Zea mays: one gene and its partners. Each later gene encodes a partner of the first gene's protein in a complex. Links are inferred from orthologs where the notes say so. Each region holds a gene or a part of one and is shown in the gene's direction. Other genes may lie near its edges.

Region 1 (5,792 bases):
CTGAAAAACTCCTTCCACTGGGCTGCGGGATATGTGTAGGCAGCCCCAAGCAAGTGAATACCATGGCCCAAACTTCACGTGGGAAAACACAGGAGATAAGAAGATGCTGCATGGTCTCCTGCTCCTGGTCGCAAAGAGGACTGATAATAGAATGCGGGAGCCCACGTCTAGCCAAGCGATCCGCCGTCCAACATTTATTCTTTAACAGCAGCCAGATGAAGAATTTGCACCGGAGGGGTGGCCAGCTTTTCCAGATCCTTTTCCAAGGCCCAAATTTAATTGTCCCTAAGAAGAAAACCCGATAAGCAGATTCAGATTGATAAGAGTACTCAGATATTCTCAGATATTCGACCAAACGAATTGATCAAGAACTCCTGGTTGCAGAATAACAGCATCAACCAACTCCAAAATTCTCAGATATTCGACCAGAACTTGGACAGTAAGCCCCCCGCACGGATATCGGTAACCCATGTATGATTAGATATATACGTGGTAGGCTAGGGGTAACACCAATTGAAGAAAAACTTGTCCAATGCCGTTTGATCGAATGGAATATACCCAAAGATTTAGCCTTGAATTGGAGCGAATGGAAAACAACTATCCATGTGCCTGAACTTGATTTGTGGCTTGTGTTGGGTCTCAGCTCTAGCCTAACCTAACTTGCTTGGGACGAAAAGATTTCGCTTGTGTTGTTGTATGCCTGGCTTGGGTTCCCAGAATGCCACCTCTGTTTTCTTTGGTGGACTTTGAGTTTATCTATATTCTGTGGTTTTCTAATGCTATAATATACTTTTAATGCTGGGTATATCGTTAGCACATGTGTTATTTTTGTTAAATTTTGATTATATATGGTTCCTTATTTTGCGAGAAGTGAGCAAAGCAATCAGAAATAAAATCAAATTTGGCCTCTTCGTGCATTTTTTTTGAGAAAAAATGTATCGATTTCTTGATGTGCTACCGCCTACCGGTGTACATTATCAATGTTGCATTGAATTTTGTAGTTTCCATTGTTCTGTTTCTTACGTAACTAATTCATACTGCAATCATTTCAGGAATGTCTAAGATCTTCTGCTGAACAAGAAAAGATAGGCTTATTGAAAGAGAAGGACGATGCCCTGCAGAAGTATAATGAGCTTAATGATCAGGTTATTTAGCAATTTTTGTGTTGAATATCTAATACACTACCACAAAAAGTTTTTTTATTACATTTGATGTTTGTTATTCTTGTTTAAGTAATTTTCTGCCTGTTGTAACTGCATGCTGGACATTCACCTTTTGTTTTCTTTTCATAGCACATGCCTACTTCAAGTGTTAATTTGTAGTGGACATATTGTTACTGCTGGGGTGTAGACATATATTTGGAACAAGTAATTGTTGTCAGTTAGGGATGAAACTGGACAGGATAAATCCTGTACCCTCTACCTTTTTTGTCCCAACCATTTTCATATAACCGGGAAATTACAGTACATCTTAGATATAAAAAATAATATAACTCAATAGCTGTAACTTCAAGTGTGTTATTGTGTACTCTGTTTGGTTTTAATATTCTGGTTTATGTCTGTTTCTGCTGAATCCCCACTCGTATTTACCCGTTCCGTATTGCCGTCTATCTTGGTCCCGGCTTTTTGGGTCCTGCCGCTCCCGCTCCCGGCTTTTTTTGATCCCGCTTTCATCTGTTTTCATCCCTATTATGAGCGTAGCACAGTATGGTACTCCCTATGTTTTCTGGTCGAGCGACCAGCTGGTTGACCTAGGGTTCCGACCAGGTGACTAATCGTATATATGGTATATATAAAGTAAAGATTAAACATGACATGAATTTTGCAATACTGACTTAAGAGAAGATATTTGTTCATCCATCTAAAAATAGTTTCTCCCCAGTGACCCTAAAGTAATGCTGGTGTTCAAAACAGCAAAGAAACACTTACTACCACTCTAGAATTTTGGACATTTAGAAGAACAAGTAATGAACAGCGATTGAGAATTTCAGAGATCTAGAATTTTGGAAGGTTTTATTGAGGCTGCCGGCGGACGTTTCACCTCTCTGTAGCCGGCTGCTTGCCAGAAAAAAGCCCATAAAAATTTGAGGCGCGTCGAACCTTGGTTGGACATTATCTCCTGATGAACGAGCGACTAATCGTAGCTAGTCGGCAACTAGTCGGATGGCCAAGGCGATCAGGTGTCCAGTGTCCTAATCGGGTCGCCTGCCCTGATTGACCACCCAAAACCTACCAGCCCGACTAATCGCGATTAGTCGGATGATAATGAAAACACAGCTCCCTCCATTTAAAATTACATACATTTTGGCTTTTCTGTATTCATAGTGTTTGCTATATATGCACTTAGATATACACTATGTCTACTTGTCTAGATACATAGTAAAAGCATGTATCTAGAAAAGCCAAAATGTTTTATAATTTGGAATGTAGGGAGTATCATGCAAAAAGGCTTGAACTCTCCAGCTAGATAAATGTCTCATTTGTAGTAGTAAATAATTTGAAGATGAAATTGGTTAGTGACGGTTGTGGACGTATGTATTTTTATGGTCTACTTCAACTAGGCATATATTGGGAGTCTGTGCTTTCACTGCTTCTTAATGCTATTCTTTTCACAATTAATGATTCTGAGTTTGACTAGCATGCATTTTTTCATGATTTCTATTTTGTTATGAGTGCAGAATAGAATTCTACACAATCAGTTAGAAGCTTTACACATTCGGTTAGCCGAGAAAGAACGGAATATTGCTGGGCTTTCATCACATCGTACTGATAATTCACATGCAGAAGATGATCTACAAAGTGTCATCAGTTATCTGCGCAGATCGAAAGAAATAGTAAGCATTGGATTTGGAGGCTTTGTCTAGTATTCAGTTTGCACTAGATGTGGTTCTTATTCAGCCTATTGACTATTTCAGGCCGAAACAGAGATATCATTGCTTAAACAGGAGAAGTCTCGGCTTCAGATAGAAGTATGTTATGCTAGCACCTGGCAACCTGCCCTGCATTTGTCCTTATTCAAAATGCTTTTGAATTTAAAAATATAAGATTCCATGAGGACCATCTATTGCTGGTTAAAAAACTGCAGCACATTCTGCCAGATGCAATATGCCATGTTGACCATATAATTAAAAAGTTGTTCGATTTCTGTTTGATAAACTGTGCATTGGTTCAGTGTCGTAGGATCTATGATTTTTTTTTGCTGTGCGTCATGTTGCCTTCTAGTTGGTGTCAAAACACCAGCTCTACTGGCAATTGTTTGTTTAAATTGACGCCTCCCTAATAATAGCCAATTTGCTCTGGAAACGGTGTTATCTGCTATATGCGTACATGCTCTGAAATTGATGACCCTTTTTAATTCATCTGTCTTCAAGGAAAGGGGGTTTTTTATAGACTAAATTCGGAATGTTTGGTTGGGACTTTTGTGTTAGAAGTAGTATTTGATGGAGCATGTGAACCTCCATTGTAGTTTACTTTACAAACTTTTTTGGTTGAATGTATTGATGTCTCTAATTTCATATGTTTCTTTATAATGGTAATACAGCTGGAAAGTTCTTTAAAGTCTGCCAAGGAGGCACAGGACTTGTTGCGAAGTCAAGCTGATAGTGCCAGGGCATTGATGTTCAAGGATGAAGAGTTCAAGTCACTGCAGATTCAGGTGCAATTCAATTGTTGGGATTAGTTGATCACATAGCTATGTCGCATTGCTATGTTGCTTTGACCTGGTTATTGAGTGTATTTTAGCCTTATTACCTTATTTATTGTTTTTTATTTGAAATGACCGACCTCAGGTCAGAGAAATTAACTTGCTTCGTGAAAGCAACATACAACTTAGGGAGGAGAACAGGCACAATTTTGAAGAATGCCAGGTAATATATTAAATTGGTAATGTTTAATTGCTGGTTCATATCTGGATGTGCATAATTTTTTATTTTAATTTTGTGCGTTCAGAAATTCCGTGAAGAAGCTCAAAAGGCTAAAATGGAATCTGAGAGGTTGCAGAACCTTCTACTGGAGAAGGAGGTAGACGCTGAAATGTGCAAAAGAGAACTGGAAATGCAGAAGGCAGAAATAGCTAATCTCAACCAAAGTATTTCTGAGGTAAGTTTTAGTCCACTTTCTAACAGTAATGATAAAATGCCATGAAATTCCTTTGGCTTCATTAAGAACAGCAGCTGTGGTTTTTGTCCCAAGCAAGTTTTAGTCTGTTGGTTTGTAATATGCAGGTTATTGCCATAAAAAAATTGTAAACATTGTGAGAAAACAATATGTGCATAAAAATCTATATATTAATTCATTCTATTCTTCATATGTTGAGTTCTGCAGTTGTGTATTAATGTTTTCTTGGCAGCTGATTGAAAATAGCAAAGGCATTGATTTGAACACTTATGAAGCCATGAAGAATGAACTTCAAAATATCAAAGTTAGTCTTCTGTTTTCCTCTTCGTTTTTCTTTGTGATGATGCCATTTTGAATGTTTCTTGGTCAATGATGTATACATGATTGGATTTCTTTTTCTGCACAAAAGAGTTTGATGACTGTCATTTTTGTCTAGTTTGACTAAACATTTGATGAATCACTATAGTGTCTTGTTTCCCTATTTTGTACCAAATATTTTTGTACCACTTTATTTTCTTTGCTGTGAGTTTGTGACATAAACTGTATGAGCTTCTGCACTGTACTCTGTATTACGATTATTGTTATCTTTTGGATGGATGCTTGCTTTGGGTGAAAGTGATGGCGCAAGTCTCTAACTGTACATGAGTCATTAAGTGTCTAATTTCATTAGTTGTATGATATTGGATTTGCTTGACTTTTTTGGGTCATAGTTTAATCGTCTTACTATCACATACATTAACATAATTATCGTTTTCAACAGTCAACCTTGAGAGAGAATTCTATGGAGCTTGAAAGTGCAAAGATACTGCTTTCTGAGAAAGAAGTTGCCATAAAAATTTTGGAGGATAAGCTTTCATTATGTCAATCTGAATTGGATTCCAAGGAAAAGAAGCTGAATGATGTAGAGGTGATAATAGTTCCAACTTTCATGACTAATATATTAACTAATTCGCTGTAGTACTTATATTTTTTTGTCCTATTGTAGGCGTCCCTTAAATCTGAGATTGACAAGCATAAGAAGATTAATTTAAACTTAAAGGTTTGGTTTTTTTTCACTTAGTTGCAATATTGAATTTCTATTTTCTATTTTGTTTATTCATGTGTCTTCTCCCATTTTAAATGTTCCAGAGAAAGCATGACAATTTGATGAAGGAGAAGGGAGAGATTGCTAAAGAAAATCAAAGCCTTGTAAAGCAGATGGAGGATCTTAAATCAAGTACTTCCACGCTGTTCCTTGTTCCGTTGCATCTTATTCTTTCCCACTTGAGCAAACTTTTGAATAGTTTCATACTAGTTGCTGCAAATCTAATAATATACTTTAGCAGCTCAGAAGACAACATCTGAAACAACACTTGAGCAGGCTATTAAAGAAAAGGATTTCAGGATACAGGTTAGCACGTTTTGCTTAAATGGTACACAAAAATATTCTTGAGCCTTTAACATAAACATATATTAACAGACATTAGAAAGAACTCTGGAAAAGGAAAGAGATGATAACAAGAAAGAGAAGGCAAAGAGTAGGAGGAATGAGAACACAATCTTTGGTGCACTTCAGAAGGTGCAACAGGTACATTCGTTCACAAAAGTATGGATTGAATTTGATGCAATTAAAGGTTTATGTGCCTTAATGAACCTAGGAATGTTGTGACTATTGTTCGAACAAGTGATGGGGACAAG
Region 2 (6,347 bases), on another chromosome or scaffold:
CTGGGTGTTCGCGTGCCGGAGACGAGGCGAGGCTAGGCAGGGCAATGCCGCAGCTAGGCATCGCTTCACCCCGGGCAGACGATATCAGTAGGTATTTTTATATGTAGATATTACAGCAAGATCATGGTTGAGTTAATTGGTTCTTTCCATGCGTCACTTCTAACTCCATGTTCCAGTATGGAATTGCAGAATCCACCTAGCATATGTTATCCTGGCACCCATGGCTGCTTCCCAGATCATGCTCCTCAGCTGACCAAGTTGCACTATCCTGTTGGCATTCACCAACGTTACGAGATCCAGATAATACCAGGTCCAGCATCTTCCTCCGCACAATGTACACAGGGTTAGGCTCAATCAGATATCCTTTACTGTAACTATCCCTTAGGATGACTGTCTGTGTGCTTCCTTTCGTCGAGATGTAGAAAATGCCTGGATACTTGAGAAAAAATTCTCGCAGGTTTACCTCCATGGTGTACAATCTTCTGAAGTGTGACAGTCTCTCAAGTGGCATCATCCTTTCGACCGTCAGGCTCAAAAGCTCATGAAGAACACCAACAATGCGTTTCTCAAGCCGCTCCACGTTGCATATCGGATGCGAATCATTCTTCTCATAAGGTTTGGTGTAGGGAAGCCTCTGCCAGTTCTTGAGTTTCTCCCTGAAACCTTTTTGAACCTTAAATCCAGTTGGGAAGTTGATCGGGAAAGCATATTTTGTCTCTGATTCAGCTAGCCATTTTTCTGTGTACTCCCTTTTCCTCCACTCGTCGACCTTAGCTACAGCCAATGTTTCATCCCTAGAGAAAAGTGATAGAGTATCTGGGGATTTGAGAATTAAATCATGTCGATGGTTCGGCAGTATAGAGGACCTGTAATCATCAGGAAGCCCAAGCTCCCTTCTTATGAGCCATAACGCGTGCATGTTCAGAGTTCCATCCACAGAGAGCATGAGAAGTTTCTTCAGCCGCTGAACTACGCCGACCTCATTCTCCCTGACCACAGCGTCTTCCTCTGCGATCAAGTCGGACATCTTCTGCGTGACCTTGCAGCAGTGGTTCCTCTTGACAGGGTGCACGTAGGTCTGAAACACGTGGGGGTATTTCTTGAGGAAAGCACCGACCTCAATGTTCAGCCCGACCTCATGCCTCCACCTTGAGAGGAGCTGGAGAGACGCGTATCCGTTCCTCTGCTGAGATATCACCTCATGCAAAGCCAAGGCCAGCCTCAAGTTCCTCAGCTGAACCATTAGTTTGTCCAGCCTATGATCCCTCGTTCTTCCCTCAAGACGTGTTCTTGCCGAATCTACAGGCTTTCTCCACCTCCGCTGCACGCTGCGGTTAAAAGGACCGAGCTGAGTCGTCTCGCCCAACATCCGCGATAGCAGAGCGAGTGAGTGAAGGCTCCTTGCTCCAGATAAGATCGATGCCATTGTGTTTTTCACAGTTCAATTCTAAAAGATACGAAAATGCACCGAGAACCACATGTGGATCTCTAGAGCAATGGCGACTTGCTGGAGCTGCAACTGCAAGAAGGAAGGAGATTGCACGCGGAGTCAGTTTAGTAGACAATGGAATGGAAAGCACCAGGTTCGCATGAATGCACGTGGGATTGTTCTATTTACATGACTTGATAAGGTTCACTGAATAAAGAGGAGAAAAGAAAGCTGCTGATCAGTGGCGGAAATCATCCAGGGTAGGGGTGGGTGGGGGTGTGTGGGGAGGGGGTAAATAATTAAGGCTAGAAATCTTACTGGCGACATACCAAAATGTATACTAGGTACAAGGAAGAACACAAATAACAATATCAATTCTACCAAAGCAACATGTACAATGCTAAGAATCTTTTTTATATTTTCTCCATTCTAGCCTCCAGGCTCTGAGGTATGCAATGCGGCAACGACTGCTATGCAAGCAGTCCTTCTGTGCAAGCGTGCAAGCAAACCATCTGATCCATTAGATCGTGATTCAACCGTAGGTCACATTTAACACTTAAACCCTTCCACCACCCGCTCAATGCAACTAAATTAATCATTAAAGTAAAAATTTGCCAGATAAAAAGGGATGAAATATTGATTACCGGTGGCCAGTTAGTAGAGCGATGTCATGTCCTTTCTACTCTCTGCCTCAGCAGGTTTAGCACCAAGGTGCCCAGGCGGCCAAGCATGGTAGGGGCCAGGGGCCGAGCAGATTGTGCGGGCTCCTGCCGCTGCCGGCTGGGAGCCTGCCAGCCTGGGAGACTTGCTGCCTAGCCGCCTAGAGAGGGGGTTGGAGGGTTGACCGGCTGCCGGCTGGGACCGAGACGACGAACAGGCAAGCTGCAAGCTCCAAGCGGCTGCGGACCACAGTGGAGAGGGGCGAGGGGGGCGCTGGCAGCTTGCGAGATGCGTCGGCGGAGCCAGCAAGCGTGGGTGACGGCGGACGGAGAATGGTGGATCGAGAGGCGAGGTGCGAGGTGCTTTGGGCTGGGCCTTCAAGGCCTGGTTGTTTATGGGCTGGTTTTGTATGGGCTGCAGAGGCGAAAAACACATCCGCCCCTGGTCTGCCCGTCGCGCTCGCGCCTCCGTTCTCTCCCCGTTCGCCGCTCGGTTGCTTCCGCCGCCGCTTCCCCTGGCTGCCTCGTGTACTGGTCGAGCTCAAGCGCCCCATTTCGGGCTGGGTCCGGGAACCTCGAATCTATCTCCTAACCCTATCAAGCTAGCTAGCTGCGATGCCGAGCTTCCCTCCGCCGGGCGCCGTCACCATCTGCGAGATCAACCGCGACCTCGGTAAGCGCCCAGCAAATCCGCTGCCCCCCAACAACCACACACTCATTTTAACTAGCTGTAGTAAGCATTTCCGCTCGCTTGTTTGATTCAATCCGCCTCCCCCTGGCCTCTCGCAGTTGCGGTGGATGCCCTCTCCGACGACCGCGCCAAGGACGCATATGGGGATGTCCTCGTCAGTCCGCTCCCCTCGAACTCACTCTTCATCTGTGAACCACGTTGTGCTTGCCTGCCTGACGAGGGGCTCAAATCTGGGGCTTGTTGGCCGTCGTGTTGCAGGGGATGGTGTTCGCCCCGATTCCGTTCCAGCCGGAGGCTCTTCTTCTCGCCAGCCGCGAGCCTGCTGCTCCTGCCGCGGACCAAGTCGAGCCTGCTGACACTGTGCCCACCGCTGGTTTGGCAGCCACCATATCCGACTTCTTCAGGCGGATGGTCTTCCCTCCACTAGACGTGAGTTGGATCGTCCTATCTGAATTACTTATCCTCAATGTAAACTTTTTAGTAAATCATTACAATGATACTCACATTCGACCATTCTGGTTTGCAAGCCAAATAAATTTGAGTTACTACAATGCTGTTCACATTGGATTGTCCTATATTCCTAACTGAGATTCTGAGTTACTACAATTTGATGTTCCTCAAATTTGTCCCCAGAGATACCCGCGTACTTAAACCACTCGCTTGTGTGTAGATAAGTGAACTCCAGAATTTTATCATATCTTTTGTCAGTTGCTGGTGCTTATATCTACATACAAATACATGGTCATGCAACGAAAACTCTGTGCCCAAAGGCGAATGCATTGTCTGCTTCTCACTTCCCTAGTGCCACAGTGTGCTTTCATGATCTGATATATGTTGAATTGTTTTAACATAGTAAAATAACTTATTTCATGATTCAGGAGGTAACAATGTTACTCAGATTGCAAAAGCACAGCTCAACATAACTTGAAGGTTGATGTTGTATCAGAACTCCAGTTACTAATTCATCCAGCATACTTCCCAAAAAAAAATCTATCCTCCAGCTATTGTTCTTGGGATGAACACCCTAGATTTGCTTCCTGCTTGTACATTTCCTGTGTGATTTTTTACGAAACCATTACAGTCGTACTCAAATTCGATCATTCTTGTTTACCAGCCAAATCTGCTAGAAGAATTTGACACGCAGAAAGTAAGTTGGAATCCATACAAGCATTGCTTAGCATTCGTGTCTGGGAAGAACCAGGTTACTGTCCAAGACTTTGAGGACTCAGGTAAGATCGGCCTTGTGCCTATTTTGCTATGTTTTATTAGTTTATTTATGAACTGAACTCTATCCATCAGGTTAGTTGCAAAACATAACATTGGCCAATCTCTTTAACAGATGCTAAAGAACCATGCATTTTAACAAATGATCATCAAACGGATGTTAAGGCTGTTGAGTGGAGACCAAATAGTGGGAAGATGATTGCAGTTGCCTGCAAGTGTGTACTACTGCCACCTCACCATTTAACTTGAATCAATCCTTGTTGTCTCTGAATAATTTGCTGTCATACTTTACTTTTATATTGAAATCAGCATTTTCTTTTCAGAGGAGGGATATGCCTCTGGTCGGCATCATATCCTGGCAATGTCCCATTCATGAAATCTGGGGTCACTTCTTCTTCCTTTAGTGCCTTCCCTAGAGGTTCTGGTGGTCAGTGGATACTTGTGGATGTTCTTCGTGGCTCTTCTGCTGAGCTCGTTAGTGCACTTTGTTGGAAACCTGATGGAAGATATCCTTGATAAGTTTCATAGTGGCATTGTGAATTTTGCTGCTGCTTTTCATCTCTCCTTTTATTTATTTAACTCGCTAAACACCTCTGTATCATTTCGTCGGCAAAGAAAGCTAACCCAAATATACAACACCACTTACCCAACACAACACAAACACTCAAACCCATTATGCACAATGCAGGCATGCCATTGGAACAAAAGGAAAAAACAACCTAATAACCGACTAACCGAGGCAGGAGGCCATAGAAAAGAGTTTGGAGGTCTTTAGCCATGACTACTCACCGTTTCTCTTGTTTTAAAACTGTAAAATAACTAAAATACAGTGTGTGGCTAACTTCAAAAATTCTATTTTTGCCAAATTTACAGCACCATGCATACATAGATGTTTACAGTAGGTTTAGTCATTTGTGGGAAATTTCAACGGTTGAAGACATTTTTTTCCTTGACTGCTCTCCACATACTTGGCATCTGCCTCATGTAATAGTTCATCTTTCACAATTTGGGATGTGTCTCAAGGTATGTATACCAGTCCTTTTCTCAATACATGCAGTCAATCCCATTTATACAGAATTGTTGGCTATAATCTTGACACATTCCTTTTGCTTCAGGGTTGGGAACTCCTATACGGCGTGGATTAAGCAATATATCATTAGTGCGGTGGTCACCCAGTGGAGATTACCTTCTAGTTGCTAAATTGTATGGTCAATTTTCACTTTTCGTTTTCATTTCTTGTCGATAATATTTCCAAAAATTTAAATTTCATTTATTGCTAGTGATGGTACTTTTCACTTCTGGGAGACAAACACATGGACTTCAGAACCCTGGTCTTCGTCTAATGGATATGTGTCTGTAAGTGATATCTTCAGTCACAAATACCTGCTTTTGGAACATATGACATCATTTTTTTGCATTGCAATATTCTGTTGTTGTTCTTTTGCTGGAGCACAATTTTACAACAGTCCTTAGTTAAGAAGTGAGTACAATACTCTATTTGGCAACACAAATAATGTGCCCACTGCCCCTGTAAACCACATATAGTATATAATTGTGAAATTCTTCTCAATTTTGCTTAGTTTTATTGGGTTGCTGTCAGGGAGCAAATTGGGACCCAGAAGGTCGAGTTGCATTATTATCCTTTTCTAACTCGACGACGCTTGGTTCAATTCACTTCTCATCGAAGCCACCATCTTTAGGTATATAAAAGCAACCAATCAAATACTCTGTTGCTAAAGCTTTGTTGTTGTCTTATTTGTCTCAATTCTGATCGTTTGTTCTGTGCTCTTTATATCTTTCAGATGCTCACCTCCTACCAGTTGAACTTCCAGAAATTTCCTCCCTGATTGTTAGGTAACAACAGAAGCATTAATGTGGCTTCTGATCTCATGCGCATTTTATACTACATAGTTTTCTCTTCTTGCACGCTAATTTTGGCTGTTGACCCTTTTTTTAACTAACCCCATTCGCAATGAACGTGGTAACTTATTGCTGACGTAACTTTTGTGAAGGGAATTAGCTCAGGATTGTTATTGATTTACATAGCATAGGACCATAGGTTTGTAGGGTTGTAAGGAAAGAAAACTCACATGAAACAACCTAAAAGGCATAAAATCATTTAATTTCCTTAGAATTCTGTCTTCAGATTCCGCTGTCTGCTGTCGCGCACCACATTCTTTCATTCTGAAATGCGCTTTGTTTTTTTTGGAAGTCCATCCATCCATTATAATAGCACAGAATCTTACTTCCACTCAATAATGATTAATGAATGCTTTGACTGGTTCGTATAGCCGAGGCATAGAGAAATTAGCATGGGACGCATCGGGGGAACGTCTGGCACTGT
Region 3 (6,298 bases), on another chromosome or scaffold:
TGTTATTTCTGTCTTTGGTTCAAGGCTCTGCTTCTTGCCCTCCAGAAGATTAAGGTACCCGAGGAGCAGAAAAAGTTCTGCATTGCGGCACCTGAGCCACTTCTGACGTTTGCTCTCAGCTGTGGAATGTATTCTTCTCCCGGGGTAAGCTCAAAGCATTGCTTTGGCTCCCTTCGCCAAGATTACTTAGATTAGCACTATTTTTTTTGGCAAACTAGTTGACTACTTGAAAGCTTTCATGATTGTCCCTAGCGCAAACATTTAGGCCCTGTTTCAATCTCGCGAGATAAACTTTAGCAGCTTTTTTTTAGCTACTTTTAGCCATTTGTAATCTAAACAGGAGAGCTAATGGTGATAATTGAAACTAAACTTTAGCACTTCAATTCATATAGCTAAAGTTTAGTAGGAAGCTAAAGTTTATCCCGTGAGATTGAAACGGGGCCTTAATAGCTGACAGATGACTAACTATCGCTGTAGGTGAAGATTTACACGGCTAACAACGTGAGGGAAGAACTTCAAGACGCACAGCGTGATTTCATTAGAGCATCGGTAGGAGTGAGTCGGAAAGGGAAGCTTCTGGCCCCTAAGATACTGCACTGCTTTGCCCGTGGCTTTGTCGACGACAACAGCTTCCCAATCTGGATCTCGCATTTCCTACCCCAGCAGCAAGCTACGTTTGTCGATCACTGCGTGTCTCAACGGCGGCAAAGTCTCCTGGGCACCCGTACTTTCGGCGTCGTTCCATTTGATTCTCGGTTTCGCTACCTCTTCCTGCCAGATGCGGGATCGTTAAATTAACTGCTATCCGAGATTCAGATGCTTCCCTGCCTAGACAACCTGAATGGTAAACTGCACTAGCCTTTAGTGTGTTTATCTCCTGTTATATATGAATTCAGTCACAACAAAAGGTTTATGTGATTGCCCTCTGCTGATATATTACATGCTTTCAGACAGCCTAACTGCCATCTGCCAACAGAAGTGATGAAGTCCAAAGCCCTGATAGACCGCTCAACAGTGTAAGAGCTGTCTCTCGAGTTACCATCATGTCTGGAAAAGTAAGTTTATATCCAGCGACCATGAGAGTATCAAGATTTGAGATAGCAGTCACTGGATTGACCCGTGTCATTGGAAGTCAGATGCATATCTTTGGAATTCCTTAATCGGTTCGTCCGTCTCGACATCTTGTCGAGTTTCATTAAAAGAAAAACTGTACATAACTCCTACTCCCAGATAAAAACTTAAGTTCATCATGGTGCTATTTATGCATTGTATCTGTTCATCATGGTCCTGACGTTCATCGCATTAACGGTTATCAAGACCACTACGCATCACTCTTAACAGCTTTTCTCGGATTTTGTTGCTAGCAAATGTCTCTGGATCCTATATGTTACTGACTGGTTTACTGTACCTTATTACCCTTGTCGCCTCTGAAGTTCTGCTTCTGGAGGCCTGGCAGAAGAACCGGATCCCATATCTAGCCTGCACCGCAGCCATGGCAGTTGCTCCAACAACTTTGGGCTTGGGCATGTTGTTCCTCTGGCCCGTCTCAGGGTCCGTCCTGCCCATCCTTGATGCGATTGCAAATGTCCGAGCACTCTATCAGGCTAATTGAACAACAAACTGATCAGATCAGAAAGTTGAGCTCACTTTGGTGACCCACGAGCAGTGGTAGCATCTGCTATAGTGAAAAGAAGAGGGGGCTGTAGTGCAGGTAGTAGTAGTACCCACCAGTACTGCCGGCTGCGGAAGCCGTCCTTGAACACCACGAGGGGCCTGCGCACACCAGAAAACAACCCAACGTGAATGAACAAGTCAAACGCACCGGCAGTACTCGTCCGCCGGTGTAGGTCCGGTGGCTGGTGTTTTTCTTTATTATTTTACCTCCTGACGTTGAGGGGCCCCTCGCCGGGCGCGCCGCCGCCGCCGCGGATGCAGGTGCCGACGCACTTGGTCGTGCACTGCAACGCCTTGGCCGACCTGGGGTGCTTGATCCGCTCTTGCTTCCCGTCGCCCCCTGCTCACCAGCTCCTCCTCCGTCAGCCACGCTGACGCTACGACTACGACATACGCATGCACAAAAGGGAAAAAGGTTGCGAAGCATGTGCCGAATGTGCGTGTCTGCACGCACCGGAGAGCGTGGGCGGGACGTTGGAGAAGGTGTCCGCCTGGGGCGCCGGGGTCGAGAGGATGGCCGCGAGAGCCAGCGCCACCACGGCCTGTGCCGCCGGCGCCGACATCCCCCGGCCCGGGTGCCTGCGTGGCCTCGGCTCTCAGGCGACGAGCCGACGCCGACGGCGAGATGGTGGCACTGGCAGTGGCAGGCACAGGAACAAGACAAGAGCGCGCGCACCGTGGTCCGTGGCCTCGCGGAATCCAGGTATAATAGACCTCTGGTGTGGCCACCGGCCAGCCACCCGGTCCCGGATCAGCCTCGCTGGCTGCCGAATCACCAGCGCTAACACAAGTGACCAGTGGACTCGCGAGTTGCGACTGGAGGAAGGAAGATACGATGGGCCCACCTGCTCCCGGGCTAGGCCGGATCTTTATCGGGCCTGCGGCACCTAGCCCAGCGCTTGCACCTCACCCAGGACGAGGCCCAGGGAGGATCCTCCCGACTCCGACGCTGCGTAGGACTCCCCGACTCCGACGGCGTCCGCCCGCGTCGCGTGCCACGCCCACGCCACGCCGGCCGCCGCGAGGAAAGAACACCGGGTACTTCCCCTTCCCTTACGCTCCAGTTTCACAAGTCGCGAGCCGTGCGTCGCGTCGACGCGAGTTCCGCGTGAGGGAGCAGGCAGTTGCAGTTGGAGGCGGTGACGAAACCCTAGGACTTGAGCTCCAGCGCACGGCTCGGGTCCTCCTCACCGTTCCCGGCGATGGACCGGCGGCAGGAGCTCTGCAGGAACTTCCAGCGCGGCAGGTGCGGAGTATTCTCCTCCCCCTCTCCGTTGCCGCGGCATGCGATTGCCTCCGGCTGTGCACATTTATTTAAGTTCAGTCGTTATGCTCGCTCTGGGTGCCCGTACCTTCTGTGGTTTTCATTCACGTCCTGGATGGTGCAGCTGCAAGTACGGATCGCACTGCAGGTTTGTGCACGCCTCCTCTCAGCAGCAGCAGCAGGCGAAGCCCAACCCGTTTGGGTTCGGCTTAGGGAGTAGGCAGCAGCAACAGCAGCAGTCTTCGTTTCGTGCGCAGTTCCAGCAGCAGCAGCAGCAGAAGCCCAACCCGTTTGGATTTGGAGTGCAAGGCAGTGCGGCTGCACAGTCCAGAAACGCTCCTGGCCAGGCAAAGGTTTGTGTTGTCTGATGGATACATAATCTGTTTTTTTATGGTTCTTTCTCACTTGTGGAATTCAGCTTGTGTAACGATCATTCCTTTATTTGACTGATGGATTTGTTGAATCAGCCATTTCAAAATAAATGGGTAAGGGACCCCTCAGCCCCAACGAAGCAACAGGAAGCGGCACAGCCACCAGCAGCAGCCCACACGTGAGTCTGCGATTCTGGGATGCTGTACTTTTGAATCCTGCTTGATTATTCCTTGCTATATGTGAGTCACCAACTTTGTGAGTTTTTTTGCCAGCTCCTGTACAGATCCTGAGTCCTGCAGGCAACAGATTGCCGAGGATTTTAAGAATGAAACTCCACTCTGGAAGCTTACGTGCTATGCTCACCTCAGGAGGTAAATAACTAACTCGTCGTGCTTCAACTAGTGGCATCTGCCTCCCTCAATGCATTGTGCTCATCTTTTTGTATTTTGTTTGTGTTAGCGGTCCTTGTGACATCACGGGAGATATTAGCTTTGAAGAGCTGAGAGCTAACGCGTATGAGCAAGGCAGGCAAGGGCATCCTCTGCAGTCAATAGTAAGCTTTGGCGCTTCCAACTTTCTTCCCGTTATCGAGTCTTGATTTGATTGGATTTTTCCAGTTGGAAGTATCAAGTATGTGATCTTCCACATTGAATTATGTGATAAAACATTCCTACAAGGGCCATGGAAAATGATATATAATAAACTGTATGAAAACCACATGTGATATTATTAAATGTTTGTGATCGTACCTTTGTGTCCCTTATTCCTGTTAGGTTTTCTAATGGTAGAGGCATGCAAAATGTACCTGCTTGAGCAACAAGACCTGTATTTATCAGAACTCAATTGGAGCTGCGCCTTTTGTAGCAACACAACAGTACTTACTTTAGTTTCTCTTATATACTGTATAGTTTAGTCATCATAGAAATGATCTTTGATGGATTTTATCAAGAATGACATCTAATTCATTTGTTTCCTTTCTTCAGGTAGAGGGTGAAAAAAATTTGAAAAATGCAAAGCTGACGGACTTTAATAATTTTCTGAACACGCCACGTCTATCGGTATCACAAACTCCAAGCTTTCCAACTGTGGCTTCCTTCCCTGAAGTGAAAAATAACTCAGCATTTGGGGTTTCTCAAAATAATGGACCACCAGTGTTTAGTAGTTTCAGTCAAATTGGAGTAACAACTAATATGGGACCTGGGTCCAGGTAATGTTCACTTGATTATCTTGGAGGTTGGGCAATATTAACCTTACTGTTATTTTTTTGAATAAACTGATGATTCCATCAGAAATTAGTGGTCTTCAAAATAATCTACAGACATTATTATCCATTTTGATCAGTCAGTTTTTGTGTGCACGTGCCATATTAAATTCAATGAGCTATCTCATGCAGAACTACACCAGGAGTCCCAACCAATACTCTTTTTGGTCAATCTACCCAACCAAGCCATCCAACATTTCCTGCACCTACTTTTGGTCGTTCTGATATGAAATTTGGAGTTTCAGGTATGTATTATTGATTAATCCGTGCAGTTACACTGCTACCCTTTATTCAACGAACTTGGTACTCAGTCAATTCAATTGTGCGTAATATAGTTTGCGTGAATGTGTCTATCCATGTCTAGTTGGTTTTTTAATCATTCTGATTCATGGCTCTTCGTTTTTGGCATATGTTTATAAAGAACTAATCATTTGATAGGTTTCTAATATATGCTAAAGATTTAGGGATAATCTTGTATATCACTTAGGACGAGCATACATTTAATTTATATACAACTTTTTTAGGATTGTAGTTGGACTCAACAGGAACTCTTTTGGACACTAATATCGAATCAGAATTAAATTAAATAAACATGCTAGACACTTATAGTTCTGCATATTCTTTTCTTTGTCGTCTTTCTTTTTCTTAATTTAGCCATTTAGGAAATATGTGATTCGGCCTATTGCTTTTGGCTGCCATTTCAACTTATAGGATTTTACAGGTCCATTTGGAAGCCAGATATCACAACAATCATCTGGGACTTTTCAAGGCTCAAACATGTCCAGTTTTGGCAATTTCTCAAAGCCTCATGCCAGCTACCAGCAGTCCCCTTCCTCCTCTAGCCATCACAGAGACATTGATAGGCAGTCACAAGATTTACTTAGTGGAATTGTGGTTCCTACAAGTGCCACAAATGAAGCTCCTGTTGAGTAAGTCCTTCAATAAGATGTGTAGAGTATGCTGACATTGAGTACGTAATATATGGAGCTTAAGTAAATGTCTATGTGTGTGTTGGGGTAGGGGGTGGGGGGATGGGAGGTGGAGGAAAAAAAGACCAACACTATGATGAATGGGTATTATTTTTTGACTTCGCGAATATGCAGTACTTGTGTAGATGCCATGGAGAAAGTACTGCTCTTCCTCACAAAGGACTAGCTAAAACTAACCAATCAGACTTGAATGTTCATGTATATATATGCTTGTTTGTGTCGATTTGATTAGTAACCTTTGCAATATTTTATGCGACATTGTGATTTTTCTTGTTGCTTATATCTATTTTCCCCCTATGTTTATTCAACAGGGACAATAAAAATGAAAATCAGGATGATAGTATCTGGTTGAAGGAAAAATGGTCAATTGGAGAGGTATGGAATACTTTTTTGTGGTCCATGTTGATAGTTTTATTTCTACACTAGTTTGCCTATAGACATTATTATTCCTGTACAGTACATATTTGTTCCTGTTTTATTAATGACCAGCCATTGAGTTGTCAGTCACGGATCACCCACATGTTGTTGCATGTGATGTACGATCGTGTATGATATGCAACTACCTCTAGTTTTTGAATCAGTGTCGTCTGCAATATTTTCTTATTTGGTGTTTTCTGTGTCCAAAATCTTTTGCATGTACCTTCCTGTCTAGCTGTATTTTTTTTTCTTTTCCTTGTTGAGCACCTGTTTGATGTGCATTTTTCATGTTTGATACCTTTCTAAATTTGAACTATTGTG

Evidence for each region.
Region 2: Nuclear-pore anchor (region 1) and Aladin-like share a complex: the UniProt entries of both Arabidopsis thaliana proteins name them as parts of the nuclear pore complex. The link is inferred for Zea mays from reciprocal best matches to the Arabidopsis thaliana genes NUA and AT3G56900.
Region 3: Nuclear-pore anchor (region 1) and Zinc finger CCCH domain-containing protein 46 share a complex: the UniProt entries of both Arabidopsis thaliana proteins name them as parts of the nuclear pore complex. The link is inferred for Zea mays from reciprocal best matches to the Arabidopsis thaliana genes NUA and AT1G75340.

Annotation. Positions count from the first base shown.
Region 1 is NC_050099.1:187,927,688-187,933,479, forward strand, and holds part of Nuclear-pore anchor, read left to right. Parts: intron 1-1,052; coding exon 1,053-1,145; intron 1,146-2,677; coding exon 2,678-2,833; intron 2,834-2,914; coding exon 2,915-2,968; intron 2,969-3,540; coding exon 3,541-3,654; intron 3,655-3,787; coding exon 3,788-3,865; intron 3,866-3,947; coding exon 3,948-4,097; intron 4,098-4,347; coding exon 4,348-4,419; intron 4,420-4,875; coding exon 4,876-5,022; intron 5,023-5,100; coding exon 5,101-5,154; intron 5,155-5,243; coding exon 5,244-5,331; intron 5,332-5,437; coding exon of another isoform or gene 5,438-5,440; coding exon 5,441-5,505; intron 5,506-5,574; coding exon 5,575-5,682; intron 5,683-5,792. UniProt on the Arabidopsis thaliana protein: Component of the nuclear pore complex. Acts as a docking site for activities required for desumoylation and mRNA export. Required for the proper expression or localization of a subset of miRNAs.
Region 2 is NC_050105.1:1,558,781-1,565,127, forward strand, and holds the start of Aladin-like, read left to right. Parts: upstream 1-2,581; 5' UTR 2,582-2,703; coding exon 2,704-2,761; intron 2,762-2,877; coding exon 2,878-2,933; intron 2,934-3,037; coding exon 3,038-3,208; intron 3,209-3,893; coding exon 3,894-4,008; intron 4,009-4,118; coding exon 4,119-4,218; intron 4,219-4,326; coding exon 4,327-4,509; intron 4,510-4,967; coding exon 4,968-5,026; intron 5,027-5,118; coding exon 5,119-5,206; intron 5,207-5,283; coding exon 5,284-5,359; intron 5,360-5,603; coding exon 5,604-5,703; intron 5,704-5,805; coding exon 5,806-5,857; intron 5,858-6,294; coding exon 6,295-6,347. Other genes in the region: protein ROOT PRIMORDIUM DEFECTIVE 1-like, read right to left, coding at 197-1,426.
Region 3 is NC_050100.1:60,014,363-60,020,660, forward strand, and holds the start of Zinc finger CCCH domain-containing protein 46, read left to right. Parts: upstream 1-2,532; 5' UTR 2,533-2,876; coding exon 2,877-2,920; intron 2,921-3,062; coding exon 3,063-3,291; intron 3,292-3,405; coding exon 3,406-3,488; intron 3,489-3,582; coding exon 3,583-3,681; intron 3,682-3,769; coding exon 3,770-3,863; intron 3,864-4,293; coding exon 4,294-4,517; intron 4,518-4,703; coding exon 4,704-4,816; intron 4,817-5,292; coding exon 5,293-5,500; intron 5,501-5,871; coding exon 5,872-5,935; intron 5,936-6,298. Other genes in the region: uncharacterized protein, read left to right, coding at 478-798; uncharacterized protein LOC100275809 isoform 2 precursor, read right to left, coding at 1,644-1,773, 1,882-2,014, 2,129-2,237.